Linked DNA regions of Struthio camelus. The protein of the gene in region 3 purifies or fractionates together with the protein of the main gene of each other region. This does not show direct contact. Links are inferred from orthologs where the notes say so. Each region holds a gene or a part of one and is shown on either strand. Other genes may lie near its edges. The genes, in order: POMP, PSMD5, PSMB2 and PSME4.

Region 1 (7,486 bases), on a different chromosome or scaffold from region 3:
GAACAGCCTTCTGTAGGTGGCAGGTGTCCCTCTCTCTCCCCACTAACAATAGAGGCTGCGTACAGAACTAACTTACCAACTTTTAATTTAAAAAGTTTTCTGAAATGAAAGTTATTGAAATAAAGCCCAACTTGGAAGTCCGCTTAGATACTTGAAGTGGAGAGACACACAAGTGGGAAGTTACATGTTAAACAAATTTGGCAAGAATATTACTGGCATAAATAAAATGTTATTGCTGTCGAACATTTTTATTTAATTAAAAACAGGACCTTACTCATTCCTGGCTGCTGCACAAAGCAGTGCAGGTAACCATACTGTTAAATTAAACTTCCTAATTAGTTAAGAGTGAGGATGACTACATTTGATGTTATACTTGCATTTTTTTCTGACAACTCCAGTGGATGGCTGGGCAACAATTCATTTTTCACGCTTGTAAAGCTAAAAATGTAGACAAAACAATGTAATTAACAGAAAATTAATCAGAACACCATTCTTTAAGTTGCAGTGCAATACTAATTCCAGATATAAACATCAATCCACAGAGACATGAGATTAGCATAATTTCAGCTATTCAAAAATGATGCTTAGTGGCGAAGAAGCAGAAATGAATTCTTAATTATAGCATTGTCAGAAGGAAAAAAAAACCAAAACCTTGTATAAGATTCTCAGGCATCTTCTTTTCCTTCAGTTTTATATTTGATATAAAGGAATGATAATTTTTTCTCCTTGACCCGCTTCAGAAATAGAGAAACATATCAATAAACTAAGTAGGTGTGCAGTTAATGTAGAAGAGTCTCAATTTTTTCTAAATTTCTTCAGACTAAATACTGCACATACTTTCTCCCCATAGCTGTTTCACCTGCATTTTAAACTCCATGAAGTTGTTGCAGATTCAATACCCAATACATGTACATGGTTTTGCCACTCACATGAATTGTTAATAAGAAATACTATTTTTATAAAATTTACTTTCTGTACCAATCTCAAAATCAATCATTTTGTGCAGTTCTATGGCACATTCACACATACATATATATATAAACTAGCACATATTTCATAATGATTAAGACTTTGTCATTATTCTCTAAAAAGGAGCATCAAATGGGTCTAAGTCCATTAACATTATCTACTTCTGGAAGTGATGTTTCACAGAAAATTAAAGCTTGAATGACAATCTGACTGAAAACAGGTGCTTTAGCCACAGGTTAAGAGATACATCTACAAAGAACTTCTTCAAAACCACAAATATTTAATATGTTTTTTCATATATTTTAAGCTTCACATCAACTACTGCACAATTTGAGAAGAAACAATAAAGCACACCCTCTACGCAGAAGATCATGACCTCCAAATGGTCCAGCAGGTGAAAATTCAGTAATCGGGATACTATCCTTCAACAGAGAAGTAGCTCCTCTGGAATTCTGGAACAAAGAGTGACGATTACTTTTACAGAACCAGGCCCCATTTGCCCCTAAACAAATGAAAATTACGAAGATTCTACCAACTTTTTACTAAATAGTTCAAAAACTCCTCAAACTACTCAGGCACAAGTCTTAGCCTTCAGAGTTGCTTTGGGTGGAGTGATGGGGAAAAAATCACTAGGTTAGAATGCTTTCAGAGTCTGATGATACTTAAACATTTCTGGGAGCTGGCTAAAGCAGTTAAAAACCATAATTACCCTTGTTCATTCCCAACCCTGTGCTGCAGCGATGGGTGGGGAGAAGTCAGGTCACTGCCCAGCTGATGGGACACGTCTCAGTATTCCTTCAATCATGCTAGTACAGAAACAATCAATTGCAACCAAACTGGTTTTATCTACCATTTAAGGTTGTCCTAAAGAGAATAAGATGTATTCATCCATTCTATTACATCAGTTAACTGGAAGAGCAAAGAAGAAATGGCAACTTGCAGCAGACGACCAGATAAGACACATCTCCATGGACTTAGTAAGTAAAACCATCTTAACCCGCATCAGCGATTTAAAGCTACAACAGCTGATGACATTGAAGGATTTTTAGGACTGTTGACACAAACTAATCCATCAACAGATCAATTAGTAACAATCTCCGGATGGTGACAGCAAGGAACTGCTCAGCACAGGTGTTTCTTCCATCAGTTTTGTTGGGTCCAAGAGAAAACACATGCTCACAGTTAAGTCTCTTGAAACAATATACTACCATTGTGACTGTCAGTAACCTAAAGGCTATCAGAAAATCCTAAAATGTCTTCTACTGTGTCTAAAGCATCTACGAATTAATGTACTCAATAGTGATCTGATCTGAGATTGCTGCAAACAAAAACACGTAAAAAAGACTATTACCTAAAAGGTATAACAAGAGGGGCAAAGGTTTAGGAGGATCGAAGTGAAAGAAAGTAAAAAGAAAGCAGAAACCCGGGAAGTACTTCCAAAAAGCGAACCCCTCAAATCACGCCAGCGACCAGTCCGGCTCAGGCGGCCCCACCCCCGGTAAACACCACGAAGGCTGGAGGCGCGAACTCCGCCACCCCGCCTGCCGCTCGCCCCTCCAGCCCCGGGCTCCCGCAGTGCCGGCACCACCGGCGGCCTTGGCCTCCCTCTCCCTCCCCAGCTCCCAGAAGAGGGGCTTTAAACCACAACCAAGCGGTCCCGGGCGCCTTCCCAGCCGGGGACACCGCCCTGGGCGGGCCGCCGCCTGGCAGGACGCGTGCCCGCCATGGCCGCGCCGGCCCCCAGTGACTCAGCACAGCGCGGCGCCCCCCGCCCCAAGGCGGCGCGCGGCGGCCGCCGCCCCGCCGACCGTTGGGACCCAACGGCCGCGGCGGGGGCGCGGGGAGGAGGGGAGGGAGCAGGCGCGCGCCTCCCCCCGCCACCCCGGCGCGAGCAGCACAACCGACCCCTCACTCACCATCTTGGCCCGACACCCGCTTCCGCTTCCGCCTCCCCCGCCTCCTCACTTCCGCCCCTCCCCCGGCGCGTTGCGTCACGCGCAAGGAGCGGCGGCCGCCCCAGCCAGCGCTGGCTCGGGGAGAGGCGGGGCCTGGCGGGGAGGGGCGGGGCGGCGGCTGCCCCGCGGTGGCGGTTGGCGGCGGGAAGCGCGAGGGGCCGGCGCCTGGCAGGGCCTTGCCCGGGGTCTGCGGGGCTTCCCGCGCCCGTTTGACGCTGGCCGTCAAAAAACAGCATTTTTGATGCCACCCGAAGTCCCCTCCGCTGGCGCCTGGCTGCCCGCCCTAGCTGTGTGGCGGCGCTGGTTGATGGGGGGCTGTCGCCTTGCGCTTTTCTGTGGCCAAGCTTGTCGCCCCTCAGCAGATGGCGGGCAGGTGGTGCCAGCCAGGGGAGGCGCCTGAGTGACCCCCACAGCGTCACCGCGCTGGTGGCTCGAGAGAGGGAGGGAAGGAGCCGCGCTCCCCGAGCTGAACGCGGCCTTAGGCTGTGTGCCGGCCCCTGAGAGATCTCCCTCTGCGCAGACGGCTCTTGTGGCGCCCTGTTTTGCCAGGGACTTGGTCCTCTGCCGGTGACCGGCAAGGACCGGCCCACGGCAAGTTTATCTTTGGAAAGGTTCACAGCAGCAACAGTAACAACGCAGGAACTGCGTACTTAAATAATTTTGGAAGACTTTCCAACCATCGTTAGAAAATTTGCCACAGATTTTGCTGCGCTGCTCCAGATGTGCATCGAGCATATCTCTCACATATGTCTTCTGAGACTTGTGGTTTGCTCAGCACGTTTCACATTTTGCCCCAGATTGCCCTGCTGCTACGAATTTCATACATGGCAGTTAAAATGAACACTACGTACTGTAGAAAAAGTGATATTAACATGGGAGTTTTATATATATATATATATATATATATGTATTGATAGCACACTCAGCTTTGGATAATATTTAATTACAGAGAAATTCATACCCTTTTATTGTTATCCTCTTTCTTCAGCAGAATCAGGTCACCAGTTCAAAAATCTTTCCGAACTGAAGCTACGGCCCTTTACGTGAAGGTCTTCGGTTTAAAGCAAAGACTTCAAAAGAATAAAAATGTAAGACTGGGTTTTAAAATTATTTTTAGGAAAATGGGTACCACAAAGGCTTCTCTGATCTTGTAATTATAATGGGTACTCGGATATTGTGGTGCTGGGTTCATTATTATAGAATAGATGTGAATACAAAAAACAAATCAACTTCCTGTTTTAACTGCAGCTTACAGAAAAGCTAGGTTTGTCACTAAATGTATTTATTTATTGACTGAGTTTGTTGATCAGGATATGACTGCGGAGATGAAACATCTAACTTTCAAAGTCATTCTTGCAGGACACAGACAGGATACAATCACTCCATGTACCATTATTGACATCACTGCAATCCATAGTTTAGGCTGCATAACTAACATAAAAGAATGCACATTGCGAGAAAGATCTGGTTTTCCTTTAAAGACAGACTTTCACGCTAGGGAAAACTCCCAGACATAAACACAAATCACAGATATGTTTTCTCATCAAATTACCAACTGTTTTAAATATGAGCAAAGTTGGATTTCTTGCACAGCCTGTTTTAACGATCTTACAGTGAATATCTTAGTACTGGATGACTGTAATATCTCTCGTTCCTATGACCGTATCTGTGTCTCCACTGCACGTTAATAGGAATGATAGGAGCAGTTGTCAGGCTGATCAAACTTTTTATCAGAAATGAGAACCTGTGGTGAGCCATGAGCGCTGCAGTTACTGAGAAGCAATGGGTATGGCTACCCTTTCCTGAGCTGGCCTGCTGCCCTGCGGACCCGGGCAGTCTCTCTGAGAACATCTTCCAGGCTGCTGGTAACAAGACGGAAAGTGGGATGCAATGATTGTGGCTGCTGAAGAGGTTTTCTTTTAGACCGTATGCACACCCTAAAATTAGTGTGAAAATTACTGCTACTGCTCTAAAATTATTACCCTAGTAAAGTTTTGGCGGTGAATTTCACATGTTGCTTTTAAAGACAACCTTAAAATTATTGGGTTTTTTAGGAATAAAAGGTTTTCCTTTCAACATTTTACATAAAGAAGGCCCAAAATGTATGCATGTTTTAAATTTCTTTCTGCATGTTTCTTACCTCAGCATTTTTGGAATGTCAAATCTGGTCTCTTTGGTTTAGCTGAGGGACTTCACTGAGATTTCAAGAGATATATAGACCATGAACTCTTGTATGTTTTAGAAATGAGGAAAGTGTTGACTCTTTAAAAATACACACTTGTTTCAAATACCCTTTCGGCAATTCAATTGGCATTAACAAACATAAAACCTCGTTAAACAAGGGTTTAGCCAGCCTGACTTAACATGCATTCCAGCCTCGATTGCTTAGCTTTTTCTTGCCTGGGTGCCAGCACGGCATCATGTCATGAGGGGTCTGTACTTTTGCCGCTGAAGTCTGTGGCAGCGACTTTCCAGGTGGACTGGAAGCTCATGCTGACAGAGGCCCGGCTGGCTGGGCAGAGGCCGGCACATCCAGGCCTGCTCTGCCCAGGATCTAGGGAAGCCAGCTCTACTCTAGGGACTCTACTGCTCCGTAATTTTGAGCTAGTATGTCCAGCTTCTCCACTGAATTAAACGGTACTTTTACCTCTCCCATTCTTGGAACTTTTTTATATATTAAAATCAATAGATGGAAGAGAGAGAAATACCCATTTTTTAACACCATGGGTCCTATTTAATAATAGCAAAAGGAGTATATTGTCCAAGGAAACTTGTCTTTGTGTCAACATTTACGAATACTGATGTAGCTTTGTCGCTTTTCAAAATATAATTCCTTTGCCATATCAGTGGGCAGTCTGTTCTGAGTACGTGAACCTCTACCAGAAGCAAACCTTTATCCTGTGGGGCTGGGAAACTCTTTCACTGGTTTCTGTCAACAGCCAGTTATAACCTGTTAAAGTGAAAGTACTTTTTATTTGTTTTAATCAAATCAAATAAACACATTTTCTTTGATCTTTAAGAAGCCCTTTCTTGTTAACTTGCTTTATACTTTTATGTTTCAGTATTCATTGTAAATCTAATTATTTTAAAAGTTATTTTGTTTTAAATTATTAAACCTTTTCTGAATTTAAGATAAACAAGAGCATGTTTTGTTAAAGATTAAAAATAAATTTCACACAAAACTGCAAAACGTAGCAAAGATAATAATGTGTAGGCGTCAGAGTGTTCCAAAACAAGACTCTCTAGGGGCTCTTCTAAACACATGGCTACGTTAAAACCATGTTCTGAAAAGCCTCAGGAAACCCCTGACTCTAACCCACCCTTTCCTGAAACTGGTGAAAGTATTTAGAAAAAAAGTTACTGTTGCAGAGGAAAAAAAAAAAAAGAATCTCACTTATTGCCAAAGCAGATGATTTTTTCCTGTTTGTTTATTAGCAAATCCACAGCTTGCTGGATTTTTTGGGTCAAAACGTGCTCATCCTCATCCTTCAAATCCAGCAAACAGTCCAATATATGGCAAAAAAGGTCCATTATCACCTCTCTATGAAAGGTAAAACTAATGTGCTTGTAGCTACCCGTGGGTAAGTAATACCAACGTTCCCTTGTTCCATCATTTGATTTATGAATTATTAGTGAATTTTAAATGAGACAGTAATGTCTTTTCTAAAATGTCTTCAGTTGCTGTTTCGGAAGATGAAACAAGGACTGCCAATTTTTTTTCTAAGTCAGGTAAGGTACTTGGAAAGAGGCCCTTGTCGTCTTGAAGCGATAACTTATTTCATAGCTTGTCAGTGCTTTTGTAAGTCTGTGACTGGCATCCGTAATCTTTCCTCTTTGTTTGTAGCAGTCCCCTGCACAGACTCTAAGAAATCTGGGCTTCTGTTTTCCGTGCTCCTTCTGCGGAGCCGGGAAGGCAGGAGGCTGCAACGGGGAGAGCCGGTCACTAGGGGCTGCTCGGTAGCCAAGCTCGCTGCGCCGCCCCTGCCTCCTCGCCACTTGCCAGCCGCCTCTGGTCAGTCTAGCTGGGCATTAGATGCTTGTGGCACAGTTAGAGTAGTTTTACTCTTCACTCGGAGGATCGGCAAAAATAGGGTCAAAGGATAAAAAAAGAAAAAGGTATATGCAAAGCTAAAGCTGCACATGCAGTAACCAGGAGAATGCTGGTGGGAGTATTTCTCTATTAATAGTCTGAATCATCTACTTTCAATATGCTGTATTACACCCGTGTAGCAATATTCATCTTAAATTACTTCTTCAGCCCAAGTCGCATGTTTTACCTAGCTAATGTTCGTGTAGTCAGGACCTCACTGCTCACAGGCAATGCCGAGAATGAGAATTCAGAGAAGGATATTTTTGTCTTTTCTCTGAGTTTGGAGAGAGTGACTGGCCTCCCAGAAGCATAACCATCCTGCACATATAGGTGAGACTAAGCACATTTCCTGTGAGAGTATCTTCCTAAGGGAAACCTTGAAAGCAATTAATAGTAGTCACAGCTGAAAGACTTGAATGGAACATTACTTCCCATTCCTGCTACTGTGCAGGGAAAAAATCCCCCAAGAGCT
Region 2 (6,821 bases), on a different chromosome or scaffold from region 3:
ACTTTCTTCTTTTCTTCAGAAGAATCATTGCTATTCCTATTAAGCTCTAGTACGCCTAAATTGCATTATTTTTCCTTTGCCTTACATATCTAGAGTGACACATTTGGCATCTCCTTCCGTTTCTTCCCCCTTCTGAACTTTCAGTAGGGCTTCACATCTCAAGGTGAGGAGACTGCAGAAACTGTTTTGTTTTTATTTTCAGAAAAGCAAGCATTCTATTATATCGTTAGCAGTAACTCTGCGTAGCCTTTCCAACACCCTAAGCACAACATATTAGAAAATAAGATGTAAATAACACTTGAGTTCTTTACGTCTTTGTACCATAAGGGAGAAAGAAAAATTAAGATGTTATCTAAGAATCAACATTGCTCTAACCTTCTTCTACTTTTTTGACAAGATTAAAAAAGAATAAATGAAGAGTTTGTATAGCAGCTAAAAATCTGCATATTTACAGTTTCTTAAAATTCGTTTTAAACTTAGAACTGCAGTCCCCTGCAACTCAAATGCTAACATTTATCTCATTCTTACCTCATACACTCTATACCGTACAATGTCATTTGTTGCCATGACATTTTTCAAGTCACTCAACAAACTGCTCACAAATAAAGCCTCTAAGCCATCTTGTGTCTGTGCAATTCTTGAGAGAGATTTGATGGCCTGTGAACAAGAACAGTAGCTCATCGTAAGACACACACGGAAGAAAACTCAAACCAGGATCTGTTTAAACCAGGCTCCATTAACATACCAAATCATAGTTATTCAGCTAAAATTCTAACGTCCATATGTTTTTCCAGTGACAATTACTCATATCTCTGCTGAAAGCTAGTTTTAGTTACTGTGATAAGCATTAAGTTCACATCTACGAGTTTACTTCGGGGTCAATGGCTACTGGAAGATAGCAGTTCTGGGTAAGATTTTCTACCCCATTTAATCAACTTTTGACATAGGTCACCTACTTGTTAATTTTTTTAAACCGCATAACTGATATCATTCTTTCAACCTACAGAAGCTCTCTTTTCTTCAAAGAGGAAGAGAGATGCCATCTCAGGTGACAGACTATTCAGACAGTACCCACCACAGAGAATACCTTTTCTACATCAGTTAATTTATTAAGGGGAGGGGGTGGGGGAGGGAGAGAGAGAGAGAGAGAGAGAGAGAGAGAAAACACACAAACAAAAAACAAAGCTTACCTCTTTAGCCACAGCTATTTTCTCTCCACCAATGCAATAGATTATTTGCCGTAATAATTCAGGACTGTTGATAATTTCTCTAATAGCATCTGGATTTTCAACAATCCTCCCAACCTAAGAACATGATTAAATACACTATTAGTTTAGTTGCATTCCTTTATACGAACATTCTGTTAATTAGAGAAACAGTCTTTAAAATAAAAGCTTTAAATATAAGATCTGAGGTCTATATGCCAGTCACCGCATCACGAGCCATGTTCTAATTTCTCAACTTTTTCTTGTACTGGGGATTCCAGAACTGGGCACACTTTGTACTCCAGTTGCAATTGCACAGAAGAGTCGAGGAAGCATTGACAAACTGGAGCGAGCCTGGTGAAGGGCTACCAAAATGATTAGGGGGCACAGAGTGCACTAGGAGAGGCTAAAAGGTCTGGGTTAATAAGAGAAGGCTAAGAGGAAATCATGGTGTTGTCTTCAGCTACATAATGGGAGAGTCTAAAGATGACACAATCAGACTCATATTTGAAGGTGCACAGAGACAGCAACGAATTGCAACACAGTAAATTCTACTATTAAGATCAAATTTTTTTCACCGTGAGAACAGCCGAGCACTGGAACAGCTACCCAGAAAGGCAGAATTTCCATTCTTTGATGTTCAAAACGGGATAACGCCCTGAGCAGTCTGCTGTAAGCTGGCTCTGCTTTGAGCTGGGGGTTGGATCCAACACCCCCAGAGCTCCCTTCCAAACTACATTATTCCTCAGTTCTGTTCCTTTAAACTAAGGCAACAAATACCAAGTTACTAGAAACAGTCTACTCCTTTTCAGTATTTTCACAATATTGTTCAAAGCATCCCGAACAGCAAAACTGTTGTTGTATTTAATTCCTGCAGCACCTGCTGCCAGTGCTGGCTAAGAGCATTTTACAAAGAACTAGAGTCCATGACACACAGAAGATCAATTTACACGTTACCTGTGTCAAGACACAGTTTTACATACTATATTTACCAGTCACACCATTAAGTACTATATACCTACATATTGCACAGTAGGTGCCCAAAATTGCAGGAGCCCATACAAACACTTAATACAGTGCTTTTTTCATAGTTCATAGTAAAAAAGTACCAGTAAGAGACTGAACTATCCCAGCCTGACCCAAGAGGGAGCCCTGGCCGAGCTGGAAGGCCAGGGACAGGAAACCATACCTGAGATATGGTGAGGATTTTCACGGAGTCGTCAGGATGGAAAAGGCCTTTCTGAAGCTCCTCTCGGAGGTTCCGGATGAGGTGGAGGGGGTCCAGGGCCTGTAGCAGCCGCTCCAGGATGGCGACACACGCAGACACCTGCTCCCTGAGAGGGACACGGACACCCTGAGGAGGGAGACACGGCCGAGGCCCTCAGCCGTGCCGGCCCCGCTCCCAGAAGGGCAGGAAAAGCGACAGGGGAGAGGAAGAGCGCCATGGGGAAGGCAGAGGGGAGGCGCCGGGGCCGGCCTAGGCCAGGCCCGCGCTCACCGGTCACCGGCGCTGAGGAGGCCGAAGAGCGCGCCCAAATGGGCGTCGCGCAGGCAGGGGCGGAGGGCGGCCGGCGGCACGGCCTGCGCGGCCAGCCGCAGGGCCCGCAGCTCCTCCAGGGGCGCCTCGGGCCGGCACGCCCGCTCCAGCAGCTCCGCCACAGCCGCCTCCGCCATCTTGGCACTGCCGCCGCCGCCGCCACCACCTCCCCCGCGCAACCGCCGCGCCGTAACCAGGGGGTTCCTTTCGCGTCCGCCGCCTCCGCCGACAAAATGGCGGCCGAGCCCCGCCCCTCCCTCCTTGGCCCCGCTCTGATTGGAAGGGCCGCACGGAGGGGCGGGGCAGAAAGGGGCGGGGCGCGAGGGGGAGCCGCCCCTCAACGGTTTTTTCCGTCGGGGGAAGGAGCGTTGCTGTCGGGGTGGGGGGTTGAAATGCGCCGGCAGCCCCGAGGTCAGGCCCCGAGGAGCAGGGGAGCGCTTCCAGCGGGGCTGGGCCTTCCTGCGCCGAGGGCCTGCGCGCTCCGCAGCTCCGTTTCGCTTTTTGGAGGAGCTGGGGGGGAGGCGGTGCTGAGGCCCGGGAGGAGGCGGCCATGTCCCAGGCGGGGAGTTTTTTAACACCTCAGGCGGTTATCGCGGGAGGCACGGGCACAGCCACCTTCCTCTCGTCAGCAAAGCTCCCAAGGGTCTGGAAAAATTCAGCGGAGCCAAACGGTTCCCGCAGCCCCCCAGCGCGGTTCCCCGCTTGACCCCCCCCCCCCCCCAGCGAGCAGATGTCTCGCCGCCCCTCCGGTCGCCTCGACCCTGGACACCGCTCCGGAGTCGCTGCCTTGGAAGTGCAGCGTCACCGCGACAGCTCCGTCCCGGCGTGGGCAGGCCGCACCGGCTGAGAAGCACCGGGTTTGGTTTATAGCAGCAGAAGAAAAATAGTTCAGTCCACAGACAGGGAGGAAGATGGTTGAATTTGGCACATACCGGCCTCTGTCCGTGCCGCAAGGCACTCTGAGCGCTCTGCGGTGTTTAATGTCTCCCCGACGTCACCGAAACGGCGCGGCTCTGGCCGCCTTCCGCTGCCTGGTGGCGGCTGTCCGCGGGGACGCAAAGCAGGAGTACGACTGTCAGACGTTTTGATCTAAATCCAGGCACCAGAAATGCCGTGGTGAATACATCCTCCTAATAGCTTACGAGAACTGGCAGGAACGTAACGAAGTTATATTTTGAGAAAGAACGGCCCTCTTTGTTCCTCTGCACCAGATCGCTTAAAGGAATATTGTTAAACGTTTTAGGGCCAAACAGCATAACCGAGTTTATCGGCTTGCTAGCAGTTGCTACACAAAGATTACAAAGCTGCAATAATATGAGGTCTGAGGGGAAAAAAGCGATTTTACCGATGGGAAAATTAAGGCACCGATGCTGAATGGCGATCGCCAGGTGTCTCGGAGCACCCCCTGGGAGGAACAGATTTATTTCTCCAGCAGATTTTGGGGCAGGTAGTTTGGGGAACAGCACCAGCGCTATTAGGAGTGTGTGTTTGGACTTGCTATGGGCCAGACCCCGCGTTTGGCTCTGCCAGGCCCCGGCACCTGCTTGGCCCCGCTCTGCAGGGAGGGGACAGGGCTGGAGGCGGCCGTGATGCCGGCGGACATCCAGCCGACTGGCGAGCCCTGTGCCAGCCGGGGAGGAAGAGGAGGAGGAGTCTGTGCTGGCTGCGGCCAGCCTTCCCAGCCAGCCCCGGCCGCGCTCCCAGCAGCGCAGGTGGCGGGACGGCGCAGGACGGCGGCTCTCGCCCGGCGCGATGAGGATGGAGTGGCTGAGCCAGCGCTGCCAGCCGCCCAGCAGCCAGACCTGCTCCCGGCCGGGCCGCCTGGCCCTGCTGCTGGTAAGTGGGAGCCACATCGCGGGACACGGGGACCTGCGGCTGGGAACAGCGACGGCGTTTGTCTGCGCGCGAGGCGACGCGGGAGATCCACCGGGGAGCCAGACGCGCGCGACCTGGGCGGCCGCAGGAACGCCGCCACTCACCCCTTTGCAAGGGCAGCTCTGCAGAAAAAGAGGGGTCTTGCAGGAGAGGTGGGATCTCAGCCTGCTTTTCAGTGCAATAGTTACAATCTCGCTGTGGATTTTTCAGTTTCGGTCACTTTAACATTTTGGCAGTTCTGAATTTATTCAAATTATTAGGCGCGGGTGCCCAAGTTTCACTCCTTCACTTCTGCACCACCGCTTGGCAAATACAATTATGCTGAAAAAAACAGCATACTTTTCTTTCTTTTTTCTCTTTCTTTTCAAAAAAAAAGTGCAAGAGATGGGTCACTGTTGTATTAGTATTCACTCACAAATGTTCATGGGGATTTTCCTCATCATATGCACAAACATCTTCCAAGAAGATTAATGATTGCCATGCTGCACAGGATGGATTTTTTTTTTTCCCCTGAGCAGGGAACATAATTACATTTTAATCTGGAAAAATAGGTACACCAGCCTATCCCTTTTTGGCTTATAACTGTCTGGGTAACTTCTGTGATTTGTTGCATAATACTTGTTAAATCGCTTAGTGGGACAAAAGAACACTAAAGAAGCTCTGAAAATTATTATGAGAAGCCTTATGATAACAAAGAGCATTTCCTCAAATGGGCTGAAAAAAAGGAGACAACCAATATAAAACATCAGTCGTTTTCTAAACAGAAAAGAGTTCCTGTGTTTGTGGTGAGAAGAGAGATATCAATAATTTTTAAAAAAACTATGACATTTACCCTGTAATGGGACGTCTTTTAGAGGACAAATGAGGGTGGAAAAAAGGGAAAAAGGAATATATTCTGAGTCTTATAAAAATATTGTTATCACTGCAGATGAGTAAGGGACAGATGCTATTTATTTAAAAAACAAAAGACAAAGAGAAGAGCAACTGTGCAGAGACAGTGAGCGTTGCACGCAGAGGGTGCAGTCACCCATTCGTTTGCTGTTACTCAGCACACCAAATTAAACTTTGCTATCCTAGCAAAGTCCAAGCTGAGCTGCTTTATCGAATAAATATTTATAGTGACTGTTTATGGCACGTGAATACAATGGGAAGCTAAGGGACTTGCCAGGAACCGGGATCTGCTGTACAGCAAAACCGACTCGTTGCCAGTGTACTGCCAGTCGAGAGAGAGAGAGCACTGTTGTTCTCTGCAGGCCAGTGAGACGAGGACAGCCGTACAGACTTGGGCTGTGTCGATTAGGATTTCTGTGCCCAAAAGGATCAAACTTGACTTCACTATTAGTACCAAGCAATTAAGAGGAAACAAGACCAAAGCCTGCATTTCAGTCTTATCCTTCCTTACCTGCTATGCACTGTTTGTACCATAGCCTGGATGGACTGTGAAACATCTGTCAGCAGAACAGAATAATCATCCTGGGCTAGCAGGATTGCATTAAAACAAACCAGGGCCCTTTTTTCTATTTTTCCAATAGAGATGTAGTTTTTGATCTAATCACAGGATTTAGGGAAACAGGCTAAGTATGGGTCTGATCTGGCTTCCCAAAACGTAGCACAACAGGACATCACGTAGAGGAAAAGCAAATGCCTATGAAGGGCCACGTAGTCTGGGGAAGAGATTCCCTAGTCCTGGCAGCAGGTGGCTGCTAAGCTAAACTTAGTGAGCTAGCAATGCCTGCCTGTGCCTCCAGTTTGTCTCTTGAGTGTTCCCCATGAACATCCGAATGGGCAACAAAACTTTGAGCCTCCCTTTGCCTTACAGTGCTGCTCCCCACCCTCTCTGAAGACACGGAGTATGTACTCTAGCATGGCAGCCTTCAGGACATGGTATTTTAGGATGAGCAAAACCACCTCAGAACCAGGGTCCCCCGGCTTTCGTTACTCTCAGTCAAGCCAGGCACAGCCACCATCATCCTCCAAGCAGCCATGCAGTCAGGTGCGCTCGCCTCGAGGACGGATTTGGCCCACAAGCTGATAGACACACAAATTTACAGAGGAGGCTACTGGGCTGTTCAGGGCTAAAGACCTGAAGACTTTGTGGGACTTCCTGCTGTAAATAGGTTTGGGCTGCACTTGTCAGATTTGGAGACAGAATGGCAGCCGTTCCTTTTGCAACAAACTGGGTATCAGGCATTTGTAAGAATCTG
Region 3 (7,524 bases):
TAAGCTAATATCCTAGGCTGCAATTCTCCTTTTCCTTTGCTCTGTTCTCCCTTTGCATTGCTTCCATCTGTTTTGTTTGGAATAGATAAAAATATAGATGAACACTTAGAGTGCCAAAGCAGTCACCTGAAGAAACTAGTCAGACCTTAGCATTCTAGGTCAAATAAAATAAGCAAGCTTATTAAGATAAAAATATTTTGACAAGTAATATTTTCTGGAGTTTATTTTTTTATTTTTTACAAATGTAACTGTAGAGAGCTTTAAGCTAGCTGCTCTTATTTACACAAAGTAATACTACTAACTTGCTAAGAAGTGAGAAAAAATTGGACAGTTACATACTTCAAATTGCCAAAATCTTTCCGATATTACTCACTCTACTCCGAAGGTAATCAGCTAGGTTTCTGCGTGTAAAATTTGCAGCTGCAGTAGGAGATAATTCATAACCTGGTGAAGAAATGCATATATTTGATAACAGTACAAATCCATATCCATGTTTCACTTTCTGATTCGCCTGTTTTGAAATAACACGATATTATTGAATGACATGTGACGTCATGTAATTTGCCTAATTCCAGTTTATTCTGGAAACTAATTATAATAACTGCATAAAAAGGGCAAAGTTCAGATCGCTCATGTCTCTATGGATTGTTAAAATGGACAGCTTCAGAAAGGTAAAGTACTATGCCTGTAGCCTGAATTTTTGATTTAAGTGTATGAGAAAATCCGATAACCGTTGTCATGCAACGGACGTATTAAGAGAAATATTTTACTAACGTATCTATTACCATATCACTCATTCATATTACAACAAGGTTAGATGGGCTTTGGATAAACATGCTGGTTTATGCTATATATTCAAACCTATTCCAACTTGCAACTGCAAACTACACTAACTCTGCATTTTCAAACCCTCACTCAGTAACACTTCTCACCCTTCACTCACCATTTCTCATTTTGTAGAGTTGAACATTCTTCTGGATGTATTCTGCAAACTGTACAGTGTCTCCAGCTTCCCCAACACACAGGAGTAAGATCTTTTCACTCATTTTAAACATTTTGTCATGGTCTAGGCAAAGAAAAAAAATAGCATCAAAAGCCAAGGTCATGAAAAGAATAAATTATTTCACCAGAATCAAAACGCTTCTGAAAGAAATTGTTATGTGTCAAGTTAAGAGACTCTGATAACACCGTTATATCCTGGAATGCCACCCAAAAAGTCTTCCTGAGTAAACTTGAACATTCAGTTTCTCACAATTAATTGTTAGTGTAGTATGCAAGACTCGTGTTAAACACATCACCAAGAGAAACAAAGATGAAATACATTAAGTGCTTCTCTCAAAGGGAGGTGTTCGAGGAACATATGATCTTACTTAGAATGAAACAATGACTAAAATTTCAGAGTGTTTTGTTCAGATAAAATTTAACACGTTACATGATGTGCTCCTGGTTCACAAATAAGGACTTTGCTTGGTAACTATTCTATTTTATCTGAATATACTGCATTATAAACAAATTTCATCTAGTATAAAGCTAGAAGTTATCAATACATTAAGCCAAAAAAATCATGACAAATACAGAACCAAATTCCATGTCAAAATGATTCCCTCCTCCTGCTATCCAGGACTGCTTTAAATATAAGCAATATGGATGAATGTGGCTTTAAAATGTTCTGGCTTGTCATTGGTTGCCAATATTTAACTATTCTCCTTTTTTAAGCAAAGAAAAGCAAACATCTGAATATTGATTACAAATTACAAAACAGTCCACTGAAATATTCTGGAAATAATGAACAGTAAAGTAGAAATTTTCACTTGTAATTACAGTTTCAAATTTGCAGGAATTCAAGTTGCCATAACAACAATGCTAGATGACAATTCTGTGATCTCTCTAAGACTCAGATCTTGTCTAGTTAAAGCAAGCTACTGCTCAGGTGAGACAAATATGAATTCAAACAGCTCTTCGTGCAAAAGGAAGACCACTTCCCAATCCTGAAGCTAGGTCCAGAGAACAAACTAAATCCCAGCATCTGAACCTCACTTTCAACTTACTAAATACTGCTGAATAATCTCAGTTGCAAGAGGTTCGGAACACCACAGACCTTTAATAGAATTTAAAGAGTTAAAGCACCTAAAAACTGTAGAGAAGTTGCACGCCTTGAGAGTTCAGTGTCTGCTTTTGAGTCTGATCAGTCTTTTCAACCGACTGAGAGTTTGAGGTAAATATTAGTAAATGCCAATATTCTACACAAATAACTAAAGTTGGGGTTTTTCTTTCTCAAACAAAACCAAATAAATCCTGAAAGATATTTCCTGAAAGATAATCAACAGGCCATTTGGCATCAAGGATGTAAATTTACAAAACATATTGCTTAAAGAGGTCACCTATGCGTTTTGTATGTGCTGACATACTTCAGGTAGCAGCACTGCTAGCTTTAACGCTGAAAGTTTACCGATATTGCAGTGCACTTTTTTTTTTTAAAATAAGAGCTCCTAAAAACATTGTATTTAAATTAAAAAGGCCGCTATACCCTGTAAACAAGGCTTCTAGTCCACGTTATTGCAACAGCGGGTGGAAAAAAACACATTTTGGAGAAATTCGAAGGCACGAGAAACCCCTAGTTTATTCCCTCAGGTAAAGAAACTAAAAGACGTTACAATTGGCTTGGTAGATCTGGTGCTGCGGTACCTACTGCTACACGAACGGGTTCATTTCCCTGAGGCTTTTTCTTTCAGTACTCCCTTTTCACCGGGCCCCCGCCTCGCCCCTCACCGTGCTTCATCTGGAGGATGCTGGAGGCCGCCACCGTGTCGGCGGCCACCAGGACGTAGTCGGGGCCCTGGATGCCGATGAGGTACTCCATGGCCGGCCGCGCTCCGCCGTCCCCGCCGGGCCGGGCCTCGCCGTGACACAGCGAAGCGCCGCTGGCCGCCGCCGCCGCCTCCTCCTCGTCACGCCGCCCCCGCTCGCGCGCATGCGCGGGGCGCGCGGCGATGACGCCGCCGTCGCCGGCCCTCGCGAGAGCCGCGCCCCGCGCGGTGTGTGGGGGGGGGGAGGGGGGTCACGTGGTCCGGGGCAGCGCGCTCTGTGTCTGAGGCGGGCGGGAAGTGGGGCGGCCGCTGTCACGTCGCCGTGAGGTGGCTCAGGACCCACCCGGGGGCGGTTCCCCCCTTTTTATAACTCTCTTCGCTAATCACCTGCCTCGCCCTGACGAGCCTCGCCGGGGGCAGCGGCGGTGGGAAGGGTGCGGGGCTGGGCTGGCCTGGCCGTCAGCAGCGCCTGGAGGGCAGCCGGCCGCCCTCCGGCTCCTCACGGCTCTCTGCGAGGCCCGGTGGCTCCGGCGAGCCCAGCCGGCGGCCAGCCGGGCCCGGGGGTCCCCCTGCCTCGGGAGCGCAGCTCTGGGGAGGGCGCGAGGGCTTGGGGCACTCCCGCACAGCCGGCCCGGCCCTCTGCGGGGATGATGGAGGTTTCAGGCAAACCCATCCCCCTGTCGGGTGGATGTCTTGGTATGGGACCACAGTCTTGCCAGTCTGGGTCCTTGGCACTATTTCTGGCCAAAATATACTTTGTTTGTTATTAAAGAACACGATTCCAAGGACCAATCTTAAAGGAGATCTGCTGAAAACGAGGTGGGGATAACTGCACATCCCATTTCTGCCCCACGCGCTTTGAAATAACACCAAACCGATCTGGCTGTCCCTGCCAGAACAGATGGCTAGATCTGCTTTCTATTGAAGTTCTTTGGAGATCCGAGAGAAAGAAGAAAAATTATAAACCCTGCTTGGAAGGCAACTGTTCCTTAGGCACAAATTCTTTCAGAGATAAATGATTGGCAGTGCTGCAGCCTCTGATCTATGTAGTCAAAGGGAACTGAGCTGTGAAGAGAGGCAGTGAAATCCTTCCAGGAACAGTGGAGTGATTTATCTGCTGCCCATCTTTCTGTGTCAGAAATAGCCAGCCATGCCAGCTGTGCGCGGAGCCAAGCCCCGAGCCCCTGCACGAGGCTCCCTGCAGCTCCTGCTGCGCTCCGCGGCTAGAGCCGGCCGGCTACAGCGGGTTATCGTGCGGTCCAGGGTCCCTCCTGCCGCCCTGAACATCATCCTGAGCCAGGATTCCCTGTAGTCAAAGGGGCTGGTTGTAAAGTTTGACTCGTTGAGTCAATAAAGGATTTTTTTCTGACGGACGTGTCCATGCCAGCCACCAAGGGGAAGCTCCTGAACTCTGAGCTTCAGAAGCGTCTGATGGTTTTCGTATCGGATGATGGCTTCAGAAGTCATCCATGAGCTCGGATAGAGACCTTGGACGATGTTACTCAATTCCATGGCCTGGCTGGGCAGTTCAGACAGCTGCTGAAAAGCAAATGCTGTTCTCTGCTATTCCCTTATTCTTTTTTCCCTGCTCTCGATCTACTTAAATTTCTCAGGAGAAATATCTTCTCTTAGGTGGCTCTGCAGCACCCAGAGGCCTCCAGGTGTGACCACAACATAGATAATTAATTACAAGAAAAACAAAGCGAATGCCCTGGTTGACTGGACGTTGTCTAACTGCAGGCACTATCCTGACGAGCAGAGTAACTCCAACGGGCACTTAGTTTATTGATTAGACTCTGTCCCTGCCTGAGCCCCGTCTAATATGTTCACTAAGTGCAGCTCCACAAAGACGCAGCACCATGATAATGAAAGGGCCCGCTGAAGCATGACAAACCCCATCGCAGTCACCATAAAGGATGCAGCCCCAGGAAATAAAACTTTGGAGGCTGCAACACATGGCAAATGCCCAATTGCACCTATACCAAGAAAGTCACTGTGTAATTACGAGAACTGGGCATAACCTTTGTGTGGTTTAAAAAATACTAAACATGCCAAAAAGCAACAGCAAATTGTCTTTAGGAAACAGTATAAATGAGTGTAAGCAGCAAATTCACCATTTTGACTGTTTTCCAATTGCCTTTAGCTACACTTGTTAAATTGAGTGCTGCGTGCATAAATCAAAACAGGATGCTTTCTTATACCTAACAATGGCCCAGCTCTGTGCCAGTTCTTAAGTGTATTTTGCTGCGTGGATCCAATCTGAAGTTTTAAAAACGTTTCTCCCTTTAGATCCCTTGTACATATTACACATGTGCATACAGCCAGCCAGTCCAAGCAGTCGTATTTTGAGACCTTTTTAAGAGAAGGTTAACGAAAAATCAACAACTACCATCCTTGTTGATTTTTATTGGGCCCTAGGGTACAATTAAATGTTAAGGTTGTTATTGAATTTTCTCGACAGATTGAATTTCCTTGCTTAGGAAGCACACATACATACAATACACACCTACTTCTCTTCCTAGGGTGAAGGCATTTCTAACATTACTACGTTGGTATAATAAGGACAGCAAGACATCTGTGCCTAGCAGAAACTGGGAATGTTTTCTGCCATTAAAGGGAAATTGCACAGGCTGCAGCATGCCTTAAAATCAAATGTGTCTTTGCCTATTTTATTTTCAAGACAAATACTGTAGTTATGCACGTGTATGTGGCCATATGACCTTGGTAAGGGATATTCCATGCACAACTGCTGCAAATAGCACAGCACTAATAAGTGGCCTCCATAAAACTCTTAAGTGTGCTGAGGTATCTGATATACAATATCCATTTTCCGATATGCTGAGATCCTATGTCCAGGATACTGAGATATCCACAGGCTCCGTGGTCCTCAAAGTATCTTTTCCCACTAGGTCCAGATAAGTTACGGAGCTGAACCATCCCAGCGTTACAAAGCAGGACCGGAGCACAGAGAGCAAGAGACTGTGACAGAGAGGCGAACTGGCCCTCCGATCCTCCCATCATGGTCTCTAGCAACTAAAGTATTTTTCAGTTGGAAGACTGATTCCTTCTTAAGAAGGAAGGCTGATCCTGTAAGGAACTGCAAAATTAAAAAAAAAAAAAAGGAAAAAGAAAAAAGATCACCCACATAATAGGAAGCAGCTTTAATTTATTATCTAACTTGCTGTAACTCCCTGGACAGCAAATTGGTGTAATGATATATACAATGAAGAAAACTCAGCAAGGACAGACTGGTTAAGACAGGGAAAAAGGGGAAGGCTGAAAAGTAAATAGAAAAGCTGGCAAGGATGAATAGCTGTCATGTTGTTTTCCAAACAAAGGCAGACAAATCATATAGTTGTAGTCATATGGGAAATCCTATGAGACAATGTAAGTTAGTAAAAACAGTCCTCAGTACAGCCCAGAGAATCAGGTCTGTGCTTGATACAAATCTGCCAAGCCATGTTACAGACACTGGAGCTGTTCCGGCTGACACCAGCTGTGGGTCTGGCCTGGGCAGTAATTGCTCATCTCCTCCAGTGACATGGGCTGACTGGTGCGTTCTAATTTAAGATGATATTTACAGAGGAAAACATCACAGTCTTTTTACTAGGTGCTGATTGCTCCAGCAGAGATCCTAGTGCTGAGTAGGAAATGCAGACAAGTCGTTACATCAACAGTTGGAAAACGACAGTGTCCGTGAAGACATAATCTGGCTTTGCAAATCTTTCAGCAGCTCTTTTTCTTCCCCGTTATTTTTTTACCCCTTCACACATTGTCTGCAAGATATTGCAGTTGTTATTCTTACCTTTACGCAACAAGCTAACTTTTACCTGATCGGCCTGCACATTCTGCTGTGCCAGCCAGACATCAGCTGCCTGGCCACCCTGTATGCGATTGCTCACATGGTGTATGGTTATAATTTAATGCTTAGCAAACTTACCACGCTTTTGACATTTGTAAAACAGCAAAACACTGTACTAAGGCTCCCCGCAGGGTCTATCCCAGGTCTGCATACACCTAGGGGCACAGGGGCTGTGCGAATTCTCGCGCAGTACAGTTACAGCTGTGCCAGAGAGAGACGATCTGCAGCGCAGAGAAGCTGTGATACGTTTACCGTTACTCAGCCAGGAGCAAGCATGCTGCTTTCTGAACTTCTAGGCCCTTAGCTATTTGCCTGACTACTGGCATCCCTTCTTCTTCTGCCTGATACAACAGCAGAACATTTGTTATAGGGGACACAGTCATGGGTCCAGTAGGTGATGCCTGCTAAATGTGCCAGAGGAAGGGGGAAACTGCACAGGTTCTACCTCTGTCTCCACTGCAGCGCTCCCAAGTTCCCGTTCCTCTTCCAGAAAAGCAATGCTGTGCCCTCATGGGCACACTGCTGCTGCCTTGTGCTGAAGCAAGGCTGGACCGTGCACTGGGCCTGAGACGCCCAGGTTCAGCTCCCTGCGCTGTCCCCGTCACAGGGCAGCCCCGCAGGCAGGGGCTGTGATATGATACGTAGCTGCGGTGTGAGGGGTATTTTTCAGTCTGACTGCTGTTTGCTCTGGCTTTTGCCCTTTGCTGTGATCTGTCTCAATATGGTATTAGTAAAGACAGTGTTACAATTACTGTAATGCCTAGACAAGGTTTCCTGCTGGGAGTTCAGTGCTTTCCAGAGAAGAAAAGGAGCCCCGTGTTCCTGCTGCTTCAGGTGCAGGAAATGAAGGCATGG
Region 4 (7,594 bases), on a different chromosome or scaffold from region 3:
AATTATGCATACAAGAACAATTATGCAAATTAACTGACAGACATTATATCTAACAAATCCCAGTTTTAGACGTCTTTCCCTACTCAATTCACGACATCAGACAGCTGAAGCAGCTGCATTTAAGAAAACTACATGTAAGTCATGTTCTCAGCTGTTGCACTACAAGAAATAACAAGATTTTTGGTTCAGCTGTCATCATGAAACAGTAACTCGTATAAAAAATTCCCATTTTGAGTTTTCACTTTCATTCCTCATACCTCCAGAGTCTATGCACAGCTGTATAAAGTTGCAGTGTACCTGAAGAGGTAGAGCTATACAGGTATATAACCCATGCATGCTTTTTTTTTTTTTTTTAATTCATATGTTTGCATATGTTACATTGTCTGTCTATATTAGCATTTTTATCTGAACAAGAAAGATTCAAGACACACCAGCCATAATTCCAATTTATAAATTACTTCACAGAATATTATAAGAATACTGACTTTTAAAATATAGACATGTAATAAACTAGGCAGAGATCTTATGACAATTCTGATCATTTTCAGGTTAAACAAATGCACAATTTATTATAGCTGGCTAGCATGAAAAAAGGTATAAAGTTGACAATGAGATGAACTACTTACTACGAACAGATAATAAAGCTCTGGTTTTACTGTCATTATGTTATAATTTGACTTAGGCATGACAAATCAGAACACCATATTTGTACGTTTTGGAAGTATTTCATCTAGAGCTAAACTTTTACTGAAATATTTTATCCCACCAAACCGTTTTGCCAAATTAAACTGAGCAAGCAAAATATCTCTAATGTTAACTATACTAGCTTATTTTAAACCAACCCCACAGTTTTCTTCCCTGCCTACATCCAAACGTATTCAGTCTTACTGCATGTAATATGCCACAAAGAAGTCTTGGGAAAAACAGGCATCAGACAAGTTATAAAACACACACAGTAAATTTAAACTTCAAAGAGTAGGTGGAAAACCAGAAATTAGAGCCTCTGCCCTTTTTGTGATTCATAAAGTTAGCATAGCAGCTGTTCTCAACAGGTTAAATTCACTGCCCTGAAGCCTAAACTGATAACAGTAATTACAGTTTACAGAATGACTAGCAGGTTAATTCTAACCTATACCCGCACATCTTCAAAGCAGGTAACCGCAGGAGTTACTACCCTATCTAAGGTACATCTTTCTCTTACTAAGCACTGCTACAGTTTATTTCAGCTTGATTAGCATATGAAGTTCTGCCACAAGTCCAAAGACAACAGGCATCACTGTAAACGGCATGAGCTAGCAGATGGCTACGGAAGGGGGGGGGGGGGGGGGAAGAGTACTGAACTGGGTCCAAGCAGGTTCAGATCGTCTCTGAATGTAAACATGTGAGTCATTTCGCAACTATCAATGTAATTCTATCTAAGAATGCCTCTTGGCAAACATAAGGTCACTTACATTTCAATACATGTGTACCAACCAGATTTTTGACAGCCAGATATTTATTAAATTCCCAATACTTAAAAAAAAAAAAAGAACCCTACCTTATAGAAGAAGTAAAACTGCAAATGAATATAAATTCTACCAAATGCACGCATTCTGCCATTTCTAGCTCATAGAAAACACCAAGTATGAAGGGACACAGAACGTTCATCAAGAAGAGAATATTCAGAGGAATAAGGTGTGCCGATTGAAACTACAGCAGTCATTTGACACCATTTTTTAAGTGCCAGACTGGCCAGAATAGCACATGTGAAGAAAAAAAAAAAGGGTAAGTAAGTCTTGTAAAATTTACTAAGAGAATTCCACACTCTGCTTGGTATGAAAACACTGTGTTTTCAATCTATATAAAAATCATCTTGTCAGCACTCACATTAGAGCCAACATAAACTGCACCTTGCCACAGTACAGGCAAGACATAGAGGCATTTTTTTTAATTATTATTTTAAACTAGGGCACTAATTTTGTTAACCCAGCAGCAAAACCAGAATTTAATCCTTCCAGCGCCGAACTAACAAAAGCACAAGCAGCCTGTTTTCAGAAAGACTTCATGTTCCTACCGCAAAAGTTGTGAACAGAGATAGTATCTTCCGTAACTTGCTTGAAACGGCAAGAAAAGAAACAGGTGGTCAAGCGCGCATTTAAAAAGAAAACAGCTCGATTCATACAACTCGGAAAGCTTCTAAGACGACAGAGGAGCTCTGGGAAACGAAACCACCTTTGTCCCGGTTTCCCGTTTCGGAGCACTGCGTGGCCTTGTGCAAGAGGCCGGCTGAGCCCGCCTCGCTCCGGCCCGGAGGCCGCGCACCGCTCAGCGCACGTACCGCAGCCCCCCCCCCGCGGCCCTCGGCGCCCCGGCAGCGGCCGAGGGCAACCGCCCCGCTCTCGCTGGCGAGTAACCGTTAGGAAACCAACGCGCTTCTGCCGAGCGCCGGCCCGCCCGGCCCTCAGGCGTGCGCCTGGCCCGCCGGGCAGCCGTGAGTCACCCCGGCTTCGCCTCACGGCGCCCGGCAGCGCCCTCGGGCCCCGCTCCGCGGCGCTTCAACCCGCGGCCTGAACCTGCGCCACCCCCGACCGGGCCCCCGCGGGCAGCGCCGTTATCAGCGGCCCGAGACAACGGCCGCCGGCCTTGGCCGCGCAGCTCCCCGCCAGGGGCCGGCCCAGCCGCCCGGCTCGCCGCGCTCCCACCCCCGCCGCTGCCGACCCCTGGCGGCAGCGGACCGGCCGGCGCCGCCCCTCACGGCCGGCGGGGGCCGCTGAGCCCCGCACTCACGTGGAGAGCTTCCGGGTCCAGAAGAGCCCGCCGGGCCACAGCTCCTGCAGCTGCACGGCCCGGGCCAGGTTGCCTTTGATCTGAGCGAGGAAGCGCGTCGCCTCGGCCTCCAGGCAGTCCCCGTACGGCAGCAGCTTGTTGTACACGATCTCCTTCTGCGGAGCCGCCGCCGCCGCCATGGCCGGCGCTGCGCTGCGCTGCGCTGCGCCCTGCCCCGGCCCGGCCCGGCCCGGCCCCGGCTCGGCCCCCCCCGGCGAGTCGCCCAGCGGTGCGCGGTGACGACACAGCCGAAGGAACGGCCGCCGCCCCGCGCCGCCGAGGTCACTTCCGGCGCCGGAGTTGGGGCGGGGGGGGTCCCCGAGCACGGCGGGGAAGCGCCGCTGCTGGCCGGACACCTGCCCTGCAGCGGGCCCGGGTGGGCGGAGCGCGCGCGCAGGGCGGCCGTTAACGGCCGTGCCCGCCAGGAGACCGCGTCCCGCGTTACCGGCTGCGCTGAAGCCGCCTGCGCCGGAGTTGAGGGGAACCGGGCGGCGGCGGCGGCGGCGGGGGAGGGTCGTTCGCTGGATCATCTGGCGACCTGTTGTTACGTTTCGGTTTCGGCGACACCACAGGCGTTGCCTGGGGACAAACCTAGAATTAACGAGAACAAAGCTCGTGCTTTGTACCGTTTCATTTGTACTGCCCTTTAGTTGCTTTAAGCAGCATCAGTTTTCAAGAGGTGCTGTCACGTTTTATTCTGGGAGCCTACCTGGGCTTGTTCGCTGCTCTTTTCCTGTGTCAGTAACAGTGGCACAGCAATTCGGTAAGTTAGCCTGTTTGGGGTATGCTTTTCCTTACTATCCACAGTCAGCACTTTCCCTCTGCCTCTGACAGTTGTGCCGAGCGGTAGCTGTATCTCCTAATTCTGTCAACTAGGGACAAATGGGATATCCAAATAACCTGTGGCAGACTCAAGAGAACTGGGGCAAAAGGGGTGGCTGTAGTCAAGATACTGCCCTAGGCACCGAAATAAAATGACTTTGTGGAAAGGCCATAACTCCTACCCAAGTTTAGAATTCACTTTTTGTGGCTTTGTGGTTTATTAAAGAGCCCTTTTGTAAAGCTGCTCTGATCCCAACATAGAGATCATAATAAAAACATTCATCTTTCAGTTCTCTTCTAACTTCTGCAGTTTAGGACAGTTGGATGCTAGTTGTTCCCAAACGTATTTATTTTTGGTTAAAATTGGGTATCCAGATCCATTACATTAGCAGTTGTGAGCTAAATGCATGCTCCATTACTGATACAAACTGTATAAACTACATAAACCTTTTCCTCACAGGGGCTGAGATTTTCACAGTTAGATGTCTGAGTACCTTGGAGACTGGTATTTGACAGCCTTTAAGAATCTGCATATAAACTGCTGAGAGTGTCAATACCTGCAGTCTGATCGAGAAGCAGGGAGACTTCTAGAGGTCCGAAGCCATCAGAGCACAGTGCAGGTGATCATAGAGATTTGATGCTTAGACTTGCATAATAGCAGAAAGTTGTGTTTCTGCTGCCCTGCCTTCTTGTTCATTATGTGCTAAAAGAGGGTGTATAAACGTGGAATGAGGATGGACTTCTTCACTGGCGATAATCAGTTACAGAGTTTAGTAGCAGATTCTGTAACTGTCTGTTAAAGATATTTATTTGAAATAATAAGGCCAGTCAGTAAAGCGGAGCTCAGCGGTGCCTGGTCCTGCCGTTGACTTCTATGGGTGTAGGATAAAGCCTGTGATGGATATATGATAACAGTACTGATGGTTGTTATCTCCAGCTGTCTCCTAAATATAATTGTTAATTGAATTTCCCCTCAAGAACTACATCATGACTATACAACAGCTGCAAGCTGATTAGATTTAAAGCTGCTGACAAGGGCAAATCCTGTTTTCTGATCTTTATACTCAGATTAGCTCTGCTTAATTTTTTTTTTTTTAAATGGCTAACTAAATGCTGAAGCATTTTATAATGAGAAGGAAAGCCACAGAAAACCAAAGTAAGATAAGCAAAGGCTGTGATGCTCAAATATTCCCATGGCATTTTCGTGAAGAAAATATTTACTCCATATCCTTATACGACTTCTGTCTCAGATATTATTTTTGTTATCAGTGCAGAGCAATACTAAAACTGTGCAGCAGGAGATGATCTCGTGTTATATTCATGTGTCTGAAGAGTGACACTACTTTGCTTTACAGGGGTCAAGTAATAATCAGTGCTATAATGTTCTTTTGGAGAAAAGTACTAGTAAATCAGCATTATATAAATATGGTTTTACCAGGGGCCTAAAGGTGGTTCTATGCTACTCCATAGCTTTCCTATCATGAATTTTTCCCGTAACGTTTTGGGAAAGCAAAAGTTTATAACCACTTTTAGCACACCGAATTACTCCTTTTTTCAAAGCTTTAGTGAAAGTCATTATTCTGCATTATGGGCTGAGACTAGGATAAACAGATACTTTGCTAATTTCGCTTGACTAACGTATTAGAAGGGGTCCAGCCTTTCTGAACAGATACTGAAGAAACAAAGTTAATTCTACCTTTTCTCATTTTCCTAGACCTATACCTTTAATAGGGAAAATATGACAATTTTGTTGTGTGTTTAATACTTCTCAAATATCTTTCAATTCCTAAAAGATTTTGTGTCACCTATGTCTATTTTTACTATAATTTTAATTGTGATTTGGAGGGTATTTGTTGACATCTTTCATAGTGGCTTTAAAATTAGATTCTTTTGCCTCATATTTACGCTATGCAGAACAATCTATACATGAATTTGTGTTCAGGAGTTAAAAAAAATGAAACTTGATGGTCAAATTTCTATGTGGACAACTACGTCTTGTTTATTATTTTGCTGGTAAAAAGAGGAATAAACAAAAGGTGTATCTGAACACCATGAAATAAATGGTTTTATCATAAATTTAGATAAGAGTCAATTGATTAAGTGGCTCAGAAGCTGAAATTAAAAAAAAAAATCCATGGTTAAGGGTAAGTGAAAATGTCTATGGAATATTCTAAATGTGTCTTGAACCTAAGAAATCTGAAATTACTTCTTTTCTAACATTTACAGGCAAATCTTTTTTCCTACTCAGTTGTGATAGTGGATTGTCCAAACAGCAATTTCCAGTGTGGAAAAATGTTCATTACATTTGAAGAATGACAGAGTTTATTTAGACTTGGAAGGAAAAAAAAAAATCAGTTATAGTCCAATTTTTTGAAATTGAAATCGGCAGATATGTAAGGAACTTCAAAGCTGCATTCTGTTGCTTCATCTCTACATTATCACAAAAAACTAGAACTGTAGATATTCAGGGAATATCTGAATATGTAAACCACAGTTTCTGCCCTTTGGGCCTGAGTTTAATTTTTCACACTTTTCTAGGTGTTTTTCAATTTGAATAAACATTCCCAACCTCAGGGAGCTCATTTCATCTGAACCAGCAGACCTCCACATCTGTGACTGTTTTACCTCAGACACGCAAGTGCCTTCCACTGGAATTAAACACCTACCTTTCAGGAAAGATTGTGCGAAGTCAACAAGATCATCACATTAAAGTCATCATGCTAAATAATCTGACCCTCTCATTCTGAGAAATATGATTCTTGTTTTCAGAATCTGCAATGAGGAAAGAGATGATTCTGAGTCCGTTTGTAATTACATACATAAAAGCATATATATAGTACTTGTACTTTCCAACTATTTTCTGTATATTGATTAATTTACTAATAACATTTGTCAATTTAAAAAAAATGAACCATTTCTTTCCCCTAGTATGCTAACATTCTACTGTTTAAAAGGAGAAAAACAATGCGTTTTACAGATATGTTTTACCAAGTGAGTTAAAAATAAATTTGTTCTTCAAGTTTGCAATGTGTTTTGGCTGTAGCAGTGAGTAAAAGCACATTTGGTTCCCGAGTCAGATGATAAAGAACTAGCTTTCACAACAAGGAATCCGTCTGTGCTGCTTGCATCAATAGCTTTTTCCTCTCTTACTAAGTAGGAGGAATATGAATTGAGAGCAAACTAAATATGGTTGCCACCTGCTGTTTTTGGCATTAAATCTTGAGATTTGATGAATCCAAGTTAAGTGTTGAAGTTGTGAAAAAAATACAGTCTTTCCATTCATGAGAAATTTCAGACGTTAACAGGGGCTTATGTCAAGTTGCACATTGTTCACACGTTCCCTTGTTGGATGGCTTGCTGCCGTAGGTCAGCTAACACCAGCACTGTCATCAGTATTTAGGAAACTTGTCACTCAGCCTGAACTGTGGTTTCTACTATCTCATCTTTCAAGCAACTTCTTTTCCCACGTGGACGTTTTGTTTAGTGACCCATCTGTCCTTTCTGACCTAAGTTAAGAGTGGAATTTGGTGAGTGACAGGCTTCTGTGTATTTTGCAATTTGGAAAATAACACCCAATCCAACAGGATATGTCCTGGTCCGTGACCCCCATACCTCAGAGAACCCCACTACAAAATACAGTAGCATAATTTGCTTTCTTCTTTGAAACAGAAGCGTCCTCAGACTTACTCTTATCCCAGTGTGTCTCAGTCGGTCTGTCATCCAAAGCAGGTGGTGAAAGACTCCAAAGACCCTGAAGAAGCTGCTGCCATGCTGCTCACCAACTTTCAGGCAAGGTGGTAGTAACTTACTTTCTCCAAGAATAAGCATCTGTAAGTACTGCCTGCAAATCTTTACCCTAACAAGGGCATTTTAATTGCAAGGAGCTGCTCCCTTTCAGGATGGAGACCTGAGTCTGTAATTACTGCCTGCTCTGGAAGGGTATGCTCCCCTGCCTCAGGGAAACTGA

Evidence for each region.
Region 1: the proteins of PSMB2 (region 3) and POMP purify together in Homo sapiens (affinity purification with mass spectrometry; 5 studies listed by BioGRID and IntAct, counting the BioPlex papers as one, with this or other methods). This does not show direct contact. The link is inferred for Struthio camelus from reciprocal best matches to the Homo sapiens genes PSMB2 and POMP.
Region 2: the proteins of PSMB2 (region 3) and PSMD5 fractionate together in Homo sapiens (co-fractionation; 3 studies listed by BioGRID). This does not show direct contact. The link is inferred for Struthio camelus from reciprocal best matches to the Homo sapiens genes PSMB2 and PSMD5.
Region 4: the proteins of PSMB2 (region 3) and PSME4 purify together in Homo sapiens (affinity purification with mass spectrometry; 3 studies listed by BioGRID and IntAct, counting the BioPlex papers as one, with this or other methods). This does not show direct contact. The link is inferred for Struthio camelus from reciprocal best matches to the Homo sapiens genes PSMB2 and PSME4.

The regions. Positions count from the first base shown.
Region 1 is NC_090942.1:200,249,149-200,256,634, forward strand, and holds the start of POMP (proteasome maturation protein), read right to left. Parts: upstream 3,020-7,486; 5' UTR 2,889-3,019; coding exon 2,886-2,888; intron 1,422-2,885; coding exon 1,324-1,421; intron 439-1,323; coding exon 378-438; intron 1-377. UniProt on the Homo sapiens protein: Molecular chaperone essential for the assembly of standard proteasomes and immunoproteasomes. Degraded after completion of proteasome maturation. Mediates the association of 20S preproteasome with the endoplasmic reticulum.
Region 2 is NC_090961.1:3,081,950-3,088,770, reverse strand, and holds the start of PSMD5 (26S proteasome non-ATPase regulatory subunit 5), read right to left. Parts: upstream 3,006-6,821; 5' UTR 2,880-3,005; coding exon 2,704-2,879; intron 2,540-2,703; coding exon 2,395-2,539; intron 1,305-2,394; coding exon 1,191-1,304; intron 658-1,190; coding exon 529-657; intron 1-528. Other genes in the region: protein CutA, read left to right, coding at 4,242-4,769. UniProt on the Homo sapiens protein: Acts as a chaperone during the assembly of the 26S proteasome, specifically of the base subcomplex of the PA700/19S regulatory complex (RC).
Region 3 is NC_090964.1:9,943,575-9,951,098, forward strand, and holds the start of PSMB2 (proteasome subunit beta type-2), read right to left. Parts: upstream 3,009-7,524; 5' UTR 2,861-3,008; coding exon 2,770-2,860; intron 1,067-2,769; coding exon 944-1,066; intron 445-943; coding exon 374-444; intron 1-373. UniProt on the Homo sapiens protein: Non-catalytic component of the 20S core proteasome complex involved in the proteolytic degradation of most intracellular proteins. This complex plays numerous essential roles within the cell by associating with different regulatory particles.
Region 4 is NC_090944.1:119,473,678-119,481,271, reverse strand, and holds the start of PSME4 (proteasome activator complex subunit 4), read right to left. Parts: upstream 3,003-7,594; 5' UTR 2,946-3,002; coding exon 2,767-2,945; intron 1-2,766. UniProt on the Homo sapiens protein: Associated component of the proteasome that specifically recognizes acetylated histones and promotes ATP- and ubiquitin-independent degradation of core histones during spermatogenesis and DNA damage response.